Linked DNA regions of Daphnia pulex. The protein of the gene in region 1 interacts with the protein of each later gene in a pairwise test. Links are inferred from orthologs where the notes say so. Each region holds a gene or a part of one and is shown in the gene's direction. Other genes may lie near its edges.

Region 1 (7,558 bases):
GACAATTTACTGAAACAGTTTTTTCGTATTCCATAGAGTCTAATGGAATTGCACAAAAGAAGGAAAGCTGTAACTGAACCAGAAGCAAGATATTTCATGCACCAACTTCTATTGGGTGTAAAATACCTTCATGAAAACAAAATGATTCACAGGGATCTCAAGCTTGGGAACTTGTTCCTGAATGATAACATGGAACTTAAAATTGGAGATTTTGGTTTAGCAACAAAATTAGATTTTAGTGGAGAGAGAAAAAAGTAACAGCAACCAAGTGTAGCTGCATGGAATTGTTTATAATTTATTTTATTTTTTTACTTAGAACACTTTGTGGTACTCCCAACTATATTGCTCCAGAGGTTCTCAACAAAAAAGGCCATAGCTTTGAAGTTGACATTTGGTCAATGGGCTGCATTTTGTAAGACCTATTTTTTCTTATTCTTTTTAAAATATAACTTCACTTTTGTATTAAATCCTCAGGTATACTTTACTTGTTGGTCGTCCACCTTTTGAGACGCAGTCTCTCAAAGATACATACAGTAAAATCAAACGAAATGAATATCATATTCCCTCTCGGATCGGGCCTCTTGCCCGTGCTCTTATAACTCGAATGTTACAGGGTGAACCAACCTGCAGGTATAATAACTTGATATTAGTGTTGTGTAATTTTAAAGATTTTCAGAATTATCTATCTAGACCTGCGGTCGATATTGTTTTGAATGACGAATTCATGACATGTGGTTATATGCCAACACGCTTGCCTTTATCATGCCTCACGATGGCTCCGAGATTCGATGCCAAATTGAATAGCAGCATTATTGCTGTTCGTCGTCCACTGGGCGAAGTTAACAGAGTCCATTTACCTGGAACTGCTGAGCATCCACAAGGTTCTTCAAACACTTCCAAACAACACATTGGAGCAGATACTAACAATAAATTTGTGTGTGTGTGTTTGCTTTGTTTAGGAGATGGATTGGCGCCTTCCAACGAACCTAACCATGCTGAGAATGCCGGAGCCCTCTACACGGCTGGACCTTCTCCTGAGAAACTATTGCGTGAGCTTCAGCAACAGCTCACCCGCCTCTTCAGTGCAAAACCTGCGGAGAAGTTCCCTCTTATGATGGGTGCGTGTTTAAAGTATTTAAATATTATTAAAATTGCTTTAACTTATTTAATTGTTGATCTCAGACGAGGCAGAGGATCCGGGTTCAGTGCCTATGGTATGGATTTCTAAATGGGTAGATTATTCTGACAAATACGGGTTCGGCTACCAACTCAGCGATGATACAATTGGTGTCATTTTCAATGATTTAACGAAACTTTTGCTGTTGGTTGACGCAAAGTAAGAGTTTTACTTTTTATTAATAATTAAGACCTAAATGCCAACTACAATAATTGCAATAGGACCATTCAGTACGTCGAACGCAATGGAAATGAGTTGTATTACACTATGGATCAACATCCGCCTACCTTGGGTAAAAAGGTGAAACTGCTCGCATATTTCCGCTCTTACATGCAAGAGCACTTAATCAAGACTGGTGCATCCGTTGTTCCACGTGACGGTGATGAACATCTTCGGTTGCCTTTCCTACGTCAGTGGTTCCGCACATCTCGAGCTGTCGTCATGCACCTAACGAGTGGAACGCTACAGGTAAAGTTATCTCATCAAGTCTATTTTGTTCATTTAATCAATAATTAACTTTTTGTGTTACTAGATTAATTACTTTAAAGACCACGTTAAATTGATCCTCTGTCCACTCATGGGAGCTGTGACAGTCATCGACGAGAAGAAAAATTTCCGTACCTTCAAATTTTCTTTGCTGGCTGAACACGGTTGCAATCCTGATCTCTTATACAGACTGCAATACGCACACGAAAAACTGCCATTTTTACTCTCACCGTTAGTAGATACTCAGGAAAAGTAGAAATTTATCGCTGGCCAACAGTGATCGTCTTTCGCTTAATCAAATTTGCCCCTCGCTGTCTTTTAATTTAATTTTTTTTTAGATGGCCATTCTTGACTTAATTACCATTCAATTAAGTTACGTGTCTCCTTCAAATTTTATAATAAGTGTGAAATTACTTAATCCCATTTAGGCTTTAATCCACGAACTTATCTTTTATTATGTCGCCCTTAATTTCGAACTTGAAGTTAACAAGCAGTGTTACTACTTCATCTCATTTACGAAATTGTGATGTATTTTGATTTGTTCGTCTCAAGTACATGCCTACCTCGGATTGAATATGAAGTGTGAAATTACAATACCCTGATGCCCCCTCCCTTGCCTTTATCTTAACTTCTGTCTTCCTCTTGTACGTCTGGCAATTCGCGATTTATAGAATTACACTACATCATCACCCCTTGCATGTCTTCAGTTGTGATTGCCTCAAATATTTTGCATTGTTTCTTACGTAGAATGGGAATCAGCCTCGAAAGTCCGGACGAATCTCCGGGAATACCAAGTACCTAGAAAAATACAACACCTTGACATGAGTTGTTTTTGTTATCATATACACTGTTATTTCAATTTTAAATCATTCTAAAAATATAGTATTCCAATAAAACTTGTTGACTGTAAGCTGGTTTTGACTTTTGAGACCGCAACGGAAATGATTTTAAAAGAAATCGATACTGATTCAAAATATGGCAACGTTTATGTTATCAACTGTTTGTTTTCTGTTGATAACGTCTGCTTGCGCAACAAAAAAATTACCAATCGTGAGTCAAAAACGTTATTAGAACACGTACTGACGCACTAGTTGCTGACGTTTCTTATTAAGAAGTGGATCAGTTCTGCAAAAATACATAGCTGACATTCACTCTAGTCCAAGTAACCCATCAGCAAATTGAAGAAATGCCAAAGAAGAATGAAAAAAAGGGTAAGATTTAATCATATAAAGTAGTACCATGATGTATTAGGATACATTTGGCTATAACAGTTTAAAAAAAAACTTCCTTACTTTTCAATAATGTCAATCAGCAGCAGCTTATCCAACACAACAGCAGCAGCAGCAGCCTGTAGGGCCTCCACAATTGCCATACCCAATGTACCCACCTGGAAACAATATGGTGAATCCAGCTGTAGCAGTTGCCTCCAGTCCTTACAATCCCTATGTGCCGGTTATGTCTGGAATGCCGCCACCACCACCAAGTTATGATCAAGCAATGCACCACCCAGTTGCCCCACCTAACTATAATGCATCTTACATTCCAGTTCAGGTAAGAAATGTTTAATTATAAACATTTCTTTAGTAAATTTTATAAACAAGACTTATTTTTCTATAGCATATCCAGCAGCAGCAGCAAGTGCCCATGAATGCCCCAGGGCCTTACTATCAACCCTATCAATCATATCAATCCCATCAACCCCATCAACCCCAAGTACATGTGCAGCAAGTCCATCCTCAAGCTACTTTTGTTGTTCCAGTGAGTACATATTACATTTCTTAGTTCAACCAGTTAAATTGTCAAAGTTTTATACTAATTCTTATTTAAAATAATTAATTAGAAAGCATTCGATGCTGGTGCGCGTTTCGATTCAACGTCACAAGTGAGGATTCCTCCACCTCCTCCTGGTGTTGCACCCAATGCTGCCCAGTTGGCGCACGGATCTGGGCATAATGTAGTATTAGGTCAAAGACAGGATCGGTTTTTCACTGGTGGTTCGGATGGAGGTGCTACATTTTGGTGAAGAAATTCTTGCAAACTGCCATACCAACAGCAACAAAATGCATACCCAATTATACCTATTAAATTCAATAAAATCATTAATTTGTTAGTTGTGCGCAAAAAATCGGAAACAGTATTACTGTTATAGTACTCTTAGCCCTTAAAGAAAATGTGTGCCATGACATAAATATTTCTAACATTTGCTTTTGTTTAGTCTTTCATTGGCCGGAACTTATTCATAATCCTTCACCAAACAAAAGAATTACACAACCTTGAAAATAATATGGGCAAAGCAGCGTACCTGTAATTTCTTTTCTTATCTGCTCCATAAGTCTTCCGCCGAAAGGAAATGTGTCGTAAGGCGTCCATCTTCCGTTCGATTAAAAATCCAACCCGATTTAGTGCTCAACTGCGACAGTGTAACATTACACCGGCCCATACAAATTCGGTGGAGAGGTACAACAACTGGCGGTCTTCCTTTAAACAAAGTGGTCACATGGTATCACCATCTGCCTATACTTGCAAATTTGTAATTTAATTAGCATCGATGAGGATGGGACAAGAACTATACAATTTTTTTTTTAGTTATGTCAGACTGAAAACAGATAAAGATATCTATTACCTAATACGTCTGATGAAAGACAAAGGATTATTATAATAAATTATTTTGATTTCACATTCCGGTTAAACAAATGCGTAAGTGAAATCCACATATACATACACATAGGTGTAATGTAAGCGGAAAAGTGGCTTCACATTTATCAAGAAATTCTCTCGAGCTATTGCAAGTTAAATCACAGCTCAGTTATTTGCGATTTATCTAAACTTTGGTGACGCACGTCTTCGGGATTTGTTTTTATCAAAGCGCTGTGTCAACGATACTATCTGTATTATAACGACACGTAAGAAGATTATATAAAAACTATCAACAACGCGCGAAGGTGGACCAAAGAAATTGGCGTCAGTTTTATTAGTGCGCGAGAAGTAATTTATTTGGTAAGAAGGAATTCTCTAATTTGCAAATTTTCTATTCCGGCTAATAACTTCTAAAAGAAACATGCGCAAAGTGCACCGAAATGAAATGAGTTTTGGCTCACAAAAGTGGATTATTTCTTACGTGTTTGGCCCTTAACAAGATTAAAACTTGACCGATGTTGTAAGGATTCTTGTGGACGCTTTCATTTTGAAAAGACGACTGGATCCATTTCCGCTTCATCTTTCGAGAGAGCAACATGGAAAACCGAATTTTCCTACCAGTTATTTACGTTCGAGGAACATTCTATCAAGTCGGCTACGATGTGGTAAGAAAAAGAGGAAAACAAAATTCAATCCTAGACTTTCTAACTTGACTTTTCAACTATCCGACAGGGCCACACTTTTAAACATCAGATAGAAGAACTAGTTCGAGACTCGAAATTTTTGAACGACGAGCTGTTGCCAGCCTACAACACAGTTGCTGGACTGAAAATCTACGACGACACGCTAGCTCGAATGAAAGCCAAGTTCCCTTATTACGTCAATGAGTTGCAAGGAATTTCTGACGGCAGTCAAGTGCCCTTTTACAAGGTCCAGTTTCAAATACTTTTTAAGTGGATGTTAATAATTTTCCAACATTGTCTATTTAGTTGATGCTACTGCACATCGATAGCATGATATTAGAGGCCTCGTCGTCATCTCAACTATCAGGAAACGGTTGTTCGAGCGTCATGTGCAACCACGAAAACGCAAGTTCTAATTCAACTAATTATAAAAGTGAAAGTTTAAAAGAAAAATGATCTTACTTTTAGGTGGTTTTGGGACACACGGAAGACGCTTTTGCAGTAACTCTCAACCATCTGTACATCGTTCACGCTGATATTACCGAAAAATGTGGACGTCATGAGAGATTCTCGTCGCTTTGTTACGCTGGGCACTTGCCTGGCTTCTGCATGAATATTAATGAGCACGGTCTCGTTTACACCATCAATATTATAGAACCTGTCAGGGTCCATAATGACAAAACACGTACTTGATAATTAAATTAATTTTCGTTTGATTAGTTTAGACTTGCGTTCCTTCTTTTTTTTTCAGCGCGTCATTTCCTGACAAGGGCGATGCTTAGCGCTCGGAATTTGGTCGACGCTCAGGCCATTCTTCGTGACAGAGGAACCGGATCTGCTCACGGATTTTGCGTCAACATGTCGTTCATGAAACAAGTAAAATAATAAATTATCAGAAAAGTTAGTTAAATTTGGCATTAATCAATATACCAAAACAGGAAGGACCAATCCTCTTTCACAGCGCTGAAGTAGGACCTGCGGAGAATAACGAGTCGCAACTGTCCATTTTGACTATTTCGCCTGGGGAGAGTCATGTTCGCTGCAATAAGTATACAACAATTTCAAACAATGTTCAGCACAATTTTACCACAAATTATTTACATCGATTAGATACTTGCGACTGAAGATCAACGAGGATCATAACGGTTTGGCTGTACTCAGCAGTAACGGTCGCCATCATGTAATGGAAACTCTGGGTTTACCTACTAATATCGGAGAGGTTGTAGACATGCTGTCCAACGACGATGATCAAGATTATCCGATTTACCGTCGCGGAACGGAGAAGGATATCGTATTGACGATCGCTACTGGAATTTTTGATTTCAACCGCAGGGAGTGGCGTCTCTATGTCGATAATGCTAAGAATAGTCGTTCCATTGCCACATTCTCCATGAATCTTTAAACTTTCAGTTCTAATGTTGACTATGTTTGTCTAACTACTTTACACGACTGAAGAGCTGAATCCCTCCTTAAGGTTGAAATACAATGACTACAAGTTAATACCAATTGCAGTTAGCGTAACGTAATCTATTAACATTCTCTGATAAAGATATTCGAAATAACAATTCCAAGGTAAAAAGCTTGTACAACTTAGAGCTATTAATAGACTGGAGGAGCATAATAGCTCGGTGGAGCGTAAGTGGGAGCTTCGTATTTGTAGGCTGCTGTAGTTGTGGTATACGCTTCAGTTGTGTAGTAAGCCGGTTCAGAGTAGTAGGCAGGGGCAGCCGTTGTATAATGAGGAGCCTCAGTGTAGTAAACCGGAGCAGCAGTTGTATAGTAAGGAGCCTCAGTGTAGTAGACAGGGGCAGCAGTTGTGGTTGTGTAGTATGGAGCCTCGGTGTAGTAAGGAGCTTCAGTGTAGTAAGCTGGAGCAGCAGTGTAGTAAGGAGCCTCAGTATAGTATACAGGGGCGGCAGTTGTGGTGGTGTAGTAAGGAGCCTCGGTGTAGTAAGCTGGAGCAGCAGTGTAGTAGGGAGCCTCAGTGTAGTACACAGGGGCAGCAGTTGTGGTGGTGTAGTAAGGAGCCTCGGTGTAGTAAGGAGCAGCAGTGGTGTAATACGGAGCCTCGGTGTAAGCCGGAGGAGCATAGTAGCTCGGAGCAGCATAGGTTGTGGTATAAACCTCCGTGGTATAGTAGACCGGGGCAGGAGTAGTGTAAACCGGAGGAGCATAGTAGCTAGGAGCGGCGTAGGTTGTGGTGTAAACCTCGGTGGTGTAGTAACTGGGCTCAGTGTAATAGGCAGGGGCAGCTGTTGTGTAGGCCGGAGGAGAGTAGTAGCTTGGTGCAGCATAAGTTGTGGTATAAACCTCCGTGGCGTAGTAGCTGGGCTCGGTGTAGTAGACCGGTGGAGATGTGGTGTAGTAAACTGGAGCAGGAGTGGTGTAGACCGGAGGAGAGTAGTAGCTTGGTGCAGCATATGTTGTAGTATAGATTTCCGTGGTGTAGTAGCTAGGCTCGGTGTAGTAAACAGGGGCAGGAGTGGTGTAGTAGACTGGTTCAACATACGGCGCAACTGTAGTGTAGACCGGAGGCGAGTAGTAGCTACGTCGGGCATATGCAACTGTGGTAGTA
Region 2 (6,850 bases), on another chromosome or scaffold:
GCCTTTTTGTCGTCTGAACCTGCGCCGCAGGCTCGCAGCTGCTATTTAACAACACGGTTACTCATGCGACGTTGTCGTAATGTTGCTAAATACTATTGGAGCATTTTACTACTGTCACCTCACATACTCACATTTCTTTTTTAGACATAAAAATAAAAAATAAATAGAATTATGAAACAATTTACTTATGACCATTTGTCTCTGAGACAAATGTAAAGTTTTTCAGAATTATTTCAGTTTCTACTGAACATTATTATTTGAAAAACGTTTTACTACTGATACATTGTTACGAATGACAAATATACTATTGATACAGATTTGTAAATTACGATACTTAAGAAACTTTTTACTAGTGCGATTCCGTCACAGTGATACGCACCCTTGACGTTATTATGAAGCATTTTACTTAAAGAGCTAGTTATTTACGGGTATAGTTTACAGTTACTAAATAATCAAAATATCAGTGATATCTTTTATTTATGAAACACTTTACTTCCAACACTGTATATTAATGAGAGAAAAAAAAAAGCTTTTATTAATGGCAACCTTTACTAGTGCGATTCCGTCACTCTGAGATGCACCACCTTATGAAATAATTTACTAATGGCCATTTGTTTCAAAGATATTTGTTCAGTTTTTAAGAATTATTTCAATTTCTACTGAACATTATTATTTGAGACACCTTTTACTAGTGATACACTGTTCCAATGGCAAATATACTATCGATACAAGTTACTAAAGTACGATACTTATGAACCTTTTTACTACTGCGATTCCGTCATAGCGCTACGCACTGGTATGACGGTTACATTATTCTATCTTATCGATTACTCAATATTCTTTTCTCTTTCTGCCGATCCTTTACTGAACAAAGAAAATGTGCGGCAACTGTGATTGTAAAAATGCCAACTAACAATATGATTGCTTTCAACATCATTAATTTACAGGACGTATGAACTCCATATTTTATCAATAGTTTGTTACTTTAAAGACCTTTGATCGTATTCGATCTTTTCTATCCACATCTCAATACATATAAATACAGAGTAGCATATGAAATTTATACGTCTATTTTATTTTCCTATGTCGAAAGATCACACAGATTAGAAATTTGATAAAATTATGATACAACAGGGAATATAATGAAGAAATCTACTACATGATAGGACAGCAGAAGAATAAAATCAAATAAACTGCATTCAATTAATAAATAATTACACTTCGGATTGAATTGGGTCTTGTAACTGGAAGTAAGGCAATCTAAAAATATATATTGAATTTATAAAAGAAAGACACATGCTATTAGACAAATTGCCTTACTTTGAGCGAACTTCCGATGTCAAATGCTGCTGCACCCATTCATGATGAAGAATGCTCTTCAAATCCAGGCGATCCTCGGGTTGATATTTCAGCAATTTACTGATGATGTCACGGGCGCCATTTGTCACATGCTGAGGAAATCGCAAATCCACGCTAAAATAATTCAAGCTGTTATTGAATTACTGCATTAAATGTGGCTTATCAAGTCATAACTTGCCTGCATATTCTTTTGTAAGTCAAATCGGTTTTCTCCTCCTCAAAGGGTGGCTTTCCCACAAGAAACTCGTAGCACAAGATCCCCAAAGTCCACAAATCAACTCTTTCGTCATGAGATCTGCCTTCAACCATTTCCGGGGCCAAGTAGTCAAGTGTTCCGCACATAGTAGTGCGTCTGTTGAGAAAGAGAAATTTTTAGAAACTGAAGTAAAGCCATTTCCTACAAACTACAATCTAATACCGTGAAGATGGAGCATGAACAGACCAACCAAAGTCTGCAATTTTTACATCTCCGTTTGCTCCTATCAGGAGGTTCTCAGGTTTAATATCGCGATGGATTACTTTTCGTGCATGACAGTACATCAAAGCATCAGCCAACTGAGCCATGTAGTTTGCCACACTAATTATTGAAAATCACTTTATGATACTGCAAGAAAACCCATTAAAAGTTGAGCTTACCTTGGTTCTTCAAAGCGCTGCAAAGGCTGGGCCATCAAAAATTTATACATTTCACCCTTTGATGCATATTCTAAAATCAAATAGACTCTGGTTTCATCAAAAAAGTAACCATACATCCTTAAAATGTTGGGATGCCTGTGAATGAAACAATGTGTTATGAGAACTGCAATGCAATGTAGAATTGTTTTACCTCAAATGTGATTGAATCTCAATTTCTCTCCGAAGCTGATGTTCAAGGTGACTCTTTTGGAGCTGTGACTTGAATAGGACTTTAAGGGCTACCACAAATTTTGATTTTCTCTCTCTAGCTAGATAAACATTTCCAAATTTTCCCTTTCCCAATGGACGGCCAATCTCAAAATTTTCCAATGTCCACCTGTGTTTATCAAAGATTGGAGAATACACCAATGTGCAACTGTTAAGATCCACATCTTAATGGTCTAACAAGAGAAGAATGACAAGCATACTTAGGTTTTGATCTTTCATTTTCAAGCTTAACATCCGGTTTTGCTAAGGGAGCAGTGGTCATAGGTTTAGTCACGTTTTGCAAGTCCCTCAACGGTTGCTTGGTCTCCATTTATAACGTGAACTATTACATCAAAATACCCAACAATTTCTTAAATATTTGGAAAGCCAGTACTAATCATTAGATAATAAAAGTTATACTTATTTGCAGCGAAGTATTCGAGTAAGGTCTCTTTGTAACTAAAGTCAACTAGAAGTCTGGAACTAACGTTACTTCTTTAAAAGTCGGAGAAGATTTGTCTACCCTGTCTGGTTTGAAATTTGAACATTGACGCTAGGGGGCCGATGGGGTTTTAAACGGTAAACCCATCCTCTTGAAGTCTGATTGGTCAAGGACTCAAGGTCGCAGAGAACGATCAATATCAATTAAATTTAAAACATTTTAAAATAATATTTTAACTAATTGTTTTAACATTCCTAAAAATTTTATTAAAGTAAAAGATTAAATAAAATCGATGGGTTATATTTGTTTTATCATTGAAAAGTTGGCAACATCATAATGAGGGGGCTGGGGAACTGAGTTTTTAGGTAACCTTGATAAAATTGCGTGGTAGCATACCTTTTTTTATTAACCCTACCTGAAAACTGAAAACTTATGCAATATATTATGACCCAAGGGCACGACGTAGTAACTGTAATTCTAAAATGAAATTCACGTAGCCCCGTATGGCCCATCAAGGGTTTTGTCATAAAAGAAAACGTCTGTCATATTGTATCACGTAATTTGTCATGCAAATATTGAGAACATATTGCCGTTATTGGATTATAGTTGCCAACAGCAATTTCCTGTCAAAAATGAAATATGTGTTACGATGCGGACACAAGATTATTAGCCTGGTCTGGCCTGGGTTGTAGTGGAAATTGATCGTATAAAACACGCAACTGCTAAACAGCAGTTGGTTCCTGGTTCGTTCTTTCATATTTTGTAAACAAAAGGCTATCATTAGAGTACATGTCATTTCATGATACTAGAATCGATCGAGGATTCAATTCTAAATTTCGTAGCATGGTAAACAACTTAATAATTAAAATTAAATGCATTATTTTACCTAGTGACCAAGCTAGAATGTATAATTATTTGCATAATACCTATATTATAGGTGGATGAAGAAACTTTGGTTGAACAGCAATCTACTTTGTGGGTCGAGGTTTTCGTCGAATATTCCGTTAACTTAATTTATCTTCTAATCAGTTTTGTCATTGACTTTGTTGAAGTGTTACCAGGGCACTGTGAAAGTTTATTTAAATCTATTCTCTTAAAGTTGATTGATTTCTCAGAAATATTAGTGAACTTTTATGATTCAGCTTTTTCTGATTTCCAAATTAAATTATTACAAGTTTTCTTTTGCATACTGACTGTCCATGTATTAGCTATTTGTGTTGCGTGGAAAATTTACAGCGAAAGAATAACACAGAGATTTCTGAAGCCAAGTCAATACGAAATTTCAAGTGAACAGCTGAAGACTGCAGTTTCTGAGTTAAAGCTACCAAGTGAGCATACACCACGGTGGTAAGGCGTAGGATTCAAAATGGATAAAATTAAAAAGTTTTTTGAAAAGAAGAAAGCTGATACAAAATTTAAATTGGCTGGTAATAACATAATAATTAATATGGGTTTGTTAAAAGAGTAATGAAAACTTGTAATTTTTTAGGAGAAGGACATAAACTTAATGAAACTGTTCAACAACCAAAACTAAGCAAAAATTTGGCTCCTACTCAAGCTCGTTCTGAAGCTTCAACTAGTGCAGCACAACAACAAGCTGCAGCTGCTGCATTAGCCAGATTTGAAAAGAAAAAAGACCCTACTCCCCAACAGCGATCAGCTGCAATAATAAGAGCCCAGGCATTAAAGGAATTGGAGCTAGAGAAACAGGATACTTCAATTCAAAAGTTAACTCTGTCTGAGAAAACCCAACAACTTCCATCCTCAAATGAACTTGCTGTTAGTGGAGTTTACTACAAGTGCCCACTGATAGGTAGTATGTGTATCCTCTGTGATAGTAAATTAAATTAATGCAATTATTTGTAGGACCTGAAGTACTGCCTAAAAAAGAAATTGAAAAATTGATTAAGGAGTTTCTTTATCAGCAATTAGAAGATGAGGAAGCAGGACTTACTGCTTGTCTAGTTATACACACATTAAATAAGCCTCAAGAAAAGGTTATTTTTTATCATTTTCAAATAAAGAAATCTATTTCACATTTTTTCTCTCTCGATTAATCGACGATATAGGTTCAGCAATGTGTTGAAACATTGTTTCGCTATTTGGATAACATAGTACAGAACCCAGCTGAGGAAAAGTATCATAAAATTCGTATAAATAACAAAGTGTACCAAGAACGAGTAGGTCGGCTGGAAGGAGTACAACAATTTTTGCAAGCAGCTGGTTTCCAGTTAAAGTCTATACAAAATGCTCAGCAGGAGCCGGAGGACTTCTGGGTTTTATTAAACACACAACCAGAACACATCGAATATATTAGTGTAAAAATTTCATTTTATTCCTGAATACGGTTCAACTATAGATTGCCTATTATTGCAGAATTTACGTGATGGCTTGATAAGCGCGGAAGCGATTCGGCCAGATTTGGATAGAGGAATACAAATTTTGATGCCATCGCAAGCTGCCCAACGGGTGGAATTGCCTTCGGACTTTTTTTGGCTTACAACCGAAGAAATCAAACGAGAACAACAATTGAAAACCGAGGCGGCTGAGAAAGGCTTGATGCTTCGTACTCGGGCTATGAGGGAACGAGATGAGAAGGCTGCATCACGAAAATACCGATTTACCCTGATCCGCATAAAGTTTCCGGATGGTCCCGTGCTCCAAGGAACGTTCAAAGTCAATGAGACTATGCAAGACGTTCGCTTGTTTGTTTGCGATGCACTCGAAGAACCCTTCATAGAGTTCAATTTAGTATCTCCGGCTGGTGTGGTTAACCAACCGGACATTCAAGATTCAACTCTACTTGATCTTCAACTCTGTCCATCAGCAATTTTTCATTTCACTCCAGCCGTTGCATCCTCTTCTGGTTACTTGAAAGACGAGTTAATGATCCTTATGCAATCCATGTGATTGCTTATTATTATTCACTACATCCATGAAATATTTGAACCCTTTTCCAGATAAAATTCTGCATTAGTCACATATTGTTTTCATTTGGTTGTTCTTTTTTTTGGCATTTTTATTTTGCGAAGTGATAAACAAAAATTCCTTTAGGTGTTAAACAGCGACAACGGATGTATTCTGTTTTGTTGGTATTAATGAAGTCCGTTGAGAAGTATGACTAGTTCCGATACACAATGGATCATTCGACACAACCTGAATCAACGCGTACCTTCAATTAGTCTAAAATACAGTATATAAGTTTACGGTGACTGGGGTATAAGTTTCTGCTGGTAGATATGAATTATTGTGGAATAAGCCTGAAACAATTTTTTTTTCTAAATCAGTGCTGTAGAGTATTTGTTGATCACTTCTAGAAGCAGACATTTAAAGAAACACGCAACACATTTAAATTAAGTAAAATTTTTGCCATGAAAGAAAAACAAACAAACTTCCGGTTGATACTTTTGAAGAGTTTGCAGGAATGAATACTGTTAATCTTCACTGGAGTCGCAGGCAGTCAACCACTTACTTGTTATTTTGCCGTGCGGGGAGGGACAGGTGGAAGATTCCTGGCTGGGATGGGTGGAGGAGCCCTCACTACGTTAAACGACTGTGGGGGTTGAGAAGCCGTTGAAATTCCGTTGGAGGGCTGAGCTTCTCGTACTGGTACGACAGTAGGAGCTGACGGAACAGCTGAAGCTTGAACTGTAGAACGGGCGGGAACAGGAGGGAGAGGGCGGGAGACAGGTGGAGGAGCTTGAACTGGAGGAGCTTGAACTGGAGGAGCTGGTGGTGGAGGTTCAACTGGCGGTGGTGCGCTATTACCAACGTTCCAATCTTTAGCTTGCTGCTGTTGTTGCTGCTGTTGTAGGGCTAAACTGTTGGGCGGTGGTGGACGTGGCATCATGGGTGATCGTGAAGATTGTGCCACTGGTGCTGATTTGAATACACCTGATTTAAAAATAGTTATGCAGTTGATGGGATAGTGAAGAAGGACATAATGTTTGTCTATTTTACCTTCGCTCATTTGTATTTGATTGGCCAATAGTGCCAATACACGAATATCTTCGTCCACAGTACGACTTTCCAAAGGAACTACAGAACCGTCGGGTATGAAGAGGGGCACAGTGTTGGCAGCAGCTAAAAGGAAATCCCTAGCTACAGCAGCTGGCCAGTCGGTAGTTTTCAGCTTCAATCCTAGGCGGAGGTGGTTTATCTGTTCGA

The links.
Region 2: the proteins of DAZ-associated protein 2-like (region 1) and UBX domain-containing protein 6-like interact in binary tests that used the Homo sapiens proteins (3 or more experiments, as listed by UniProt). The link is inferred for Daphnia pulex from reciprocal best matches to the Homo sapiens genes DAZAP2 and UBXN6.

Annotation. Positions count from the first base shown.
Region 1 is NC_060021.1:6,407,427-6,414,984, reverse strand, and holds DAZ-associated protein 2-like, read left to right. Parts: upstream 1-2,691; 5' UTR 2,692-2,849; coding exon 2,850-2,874; intron 2,875-2,955; exon of another isoform or gene 2,956-2,975; coding exon 2,976-3,214; intron 3,215-3,280; coding exon 3,281-3,421; intron 3,422-3,503; coding exon 3,504-3,686; 3' UTR 3,687-3,866; downstream 3,867-7,558. Other genes in the region: serine/threonine-protein kinase PLK1-like, read left to right, coding at 37-254, 317-412, 475-881, 960-1,118, 1,183-1,336, 1,399-1,645, 1,710-1,919; uncharacterized protein LOC124193795, read left to right, coding at 4,897-4,965, 5,033-5,230, 5,290-5,388, 5,452-5,668, 5,735-5,859, 5,922-6,031, 6,094-6,385; extensin-2-like, read right to left, coding at 6,583-7,558. UniProt on the Homo sapiens protein: In unstressed cells, promotes SIAH1-mediated polyubiquitination and degradation of the serine/threonine-protein kinase HIPK2, probably by acting as a loading factor that potentiates complex formation between HIPK2 and ubiquitin ligase SIAH1.
Region 2 is NC_060023.1:5,741,068-5,747,917, forward strand, and holds UBX domain-containing protein 6-like, read left to right. Parts: upstream 1-3,616; 5' UTR 3,617-4,049; coding exon 4,050-4,110; intron 4,111-4,172; coding exon 4,173-4,496; intron 4,497-4,549; coding exon 4,550-4,680; intron 4,681-4,752; coding exon 4,753-5,001; intron 5,002-5,059; coding exon 5,060-5,593; 3' UTR 5,594-5,838; downstream 5,839-6,850. Other genes in the region: aurora kinase A-like, read right to left, coding at 1,215-1,260, 1,321-1,473, 1,538-1,711, 1,778-1,936, 1,996-2,130, 2,186-2,371, 2,463-2,572; synaptojanin-1-like, read right to left, coding at 6,159-6,577, 6,644-6,842. UniProt on the Homo sapiens protein: May negatively regulate the ATPase activity of VCP, an ATP-driven segregase that associates with different cofactors to control a wide variety of cellular processes.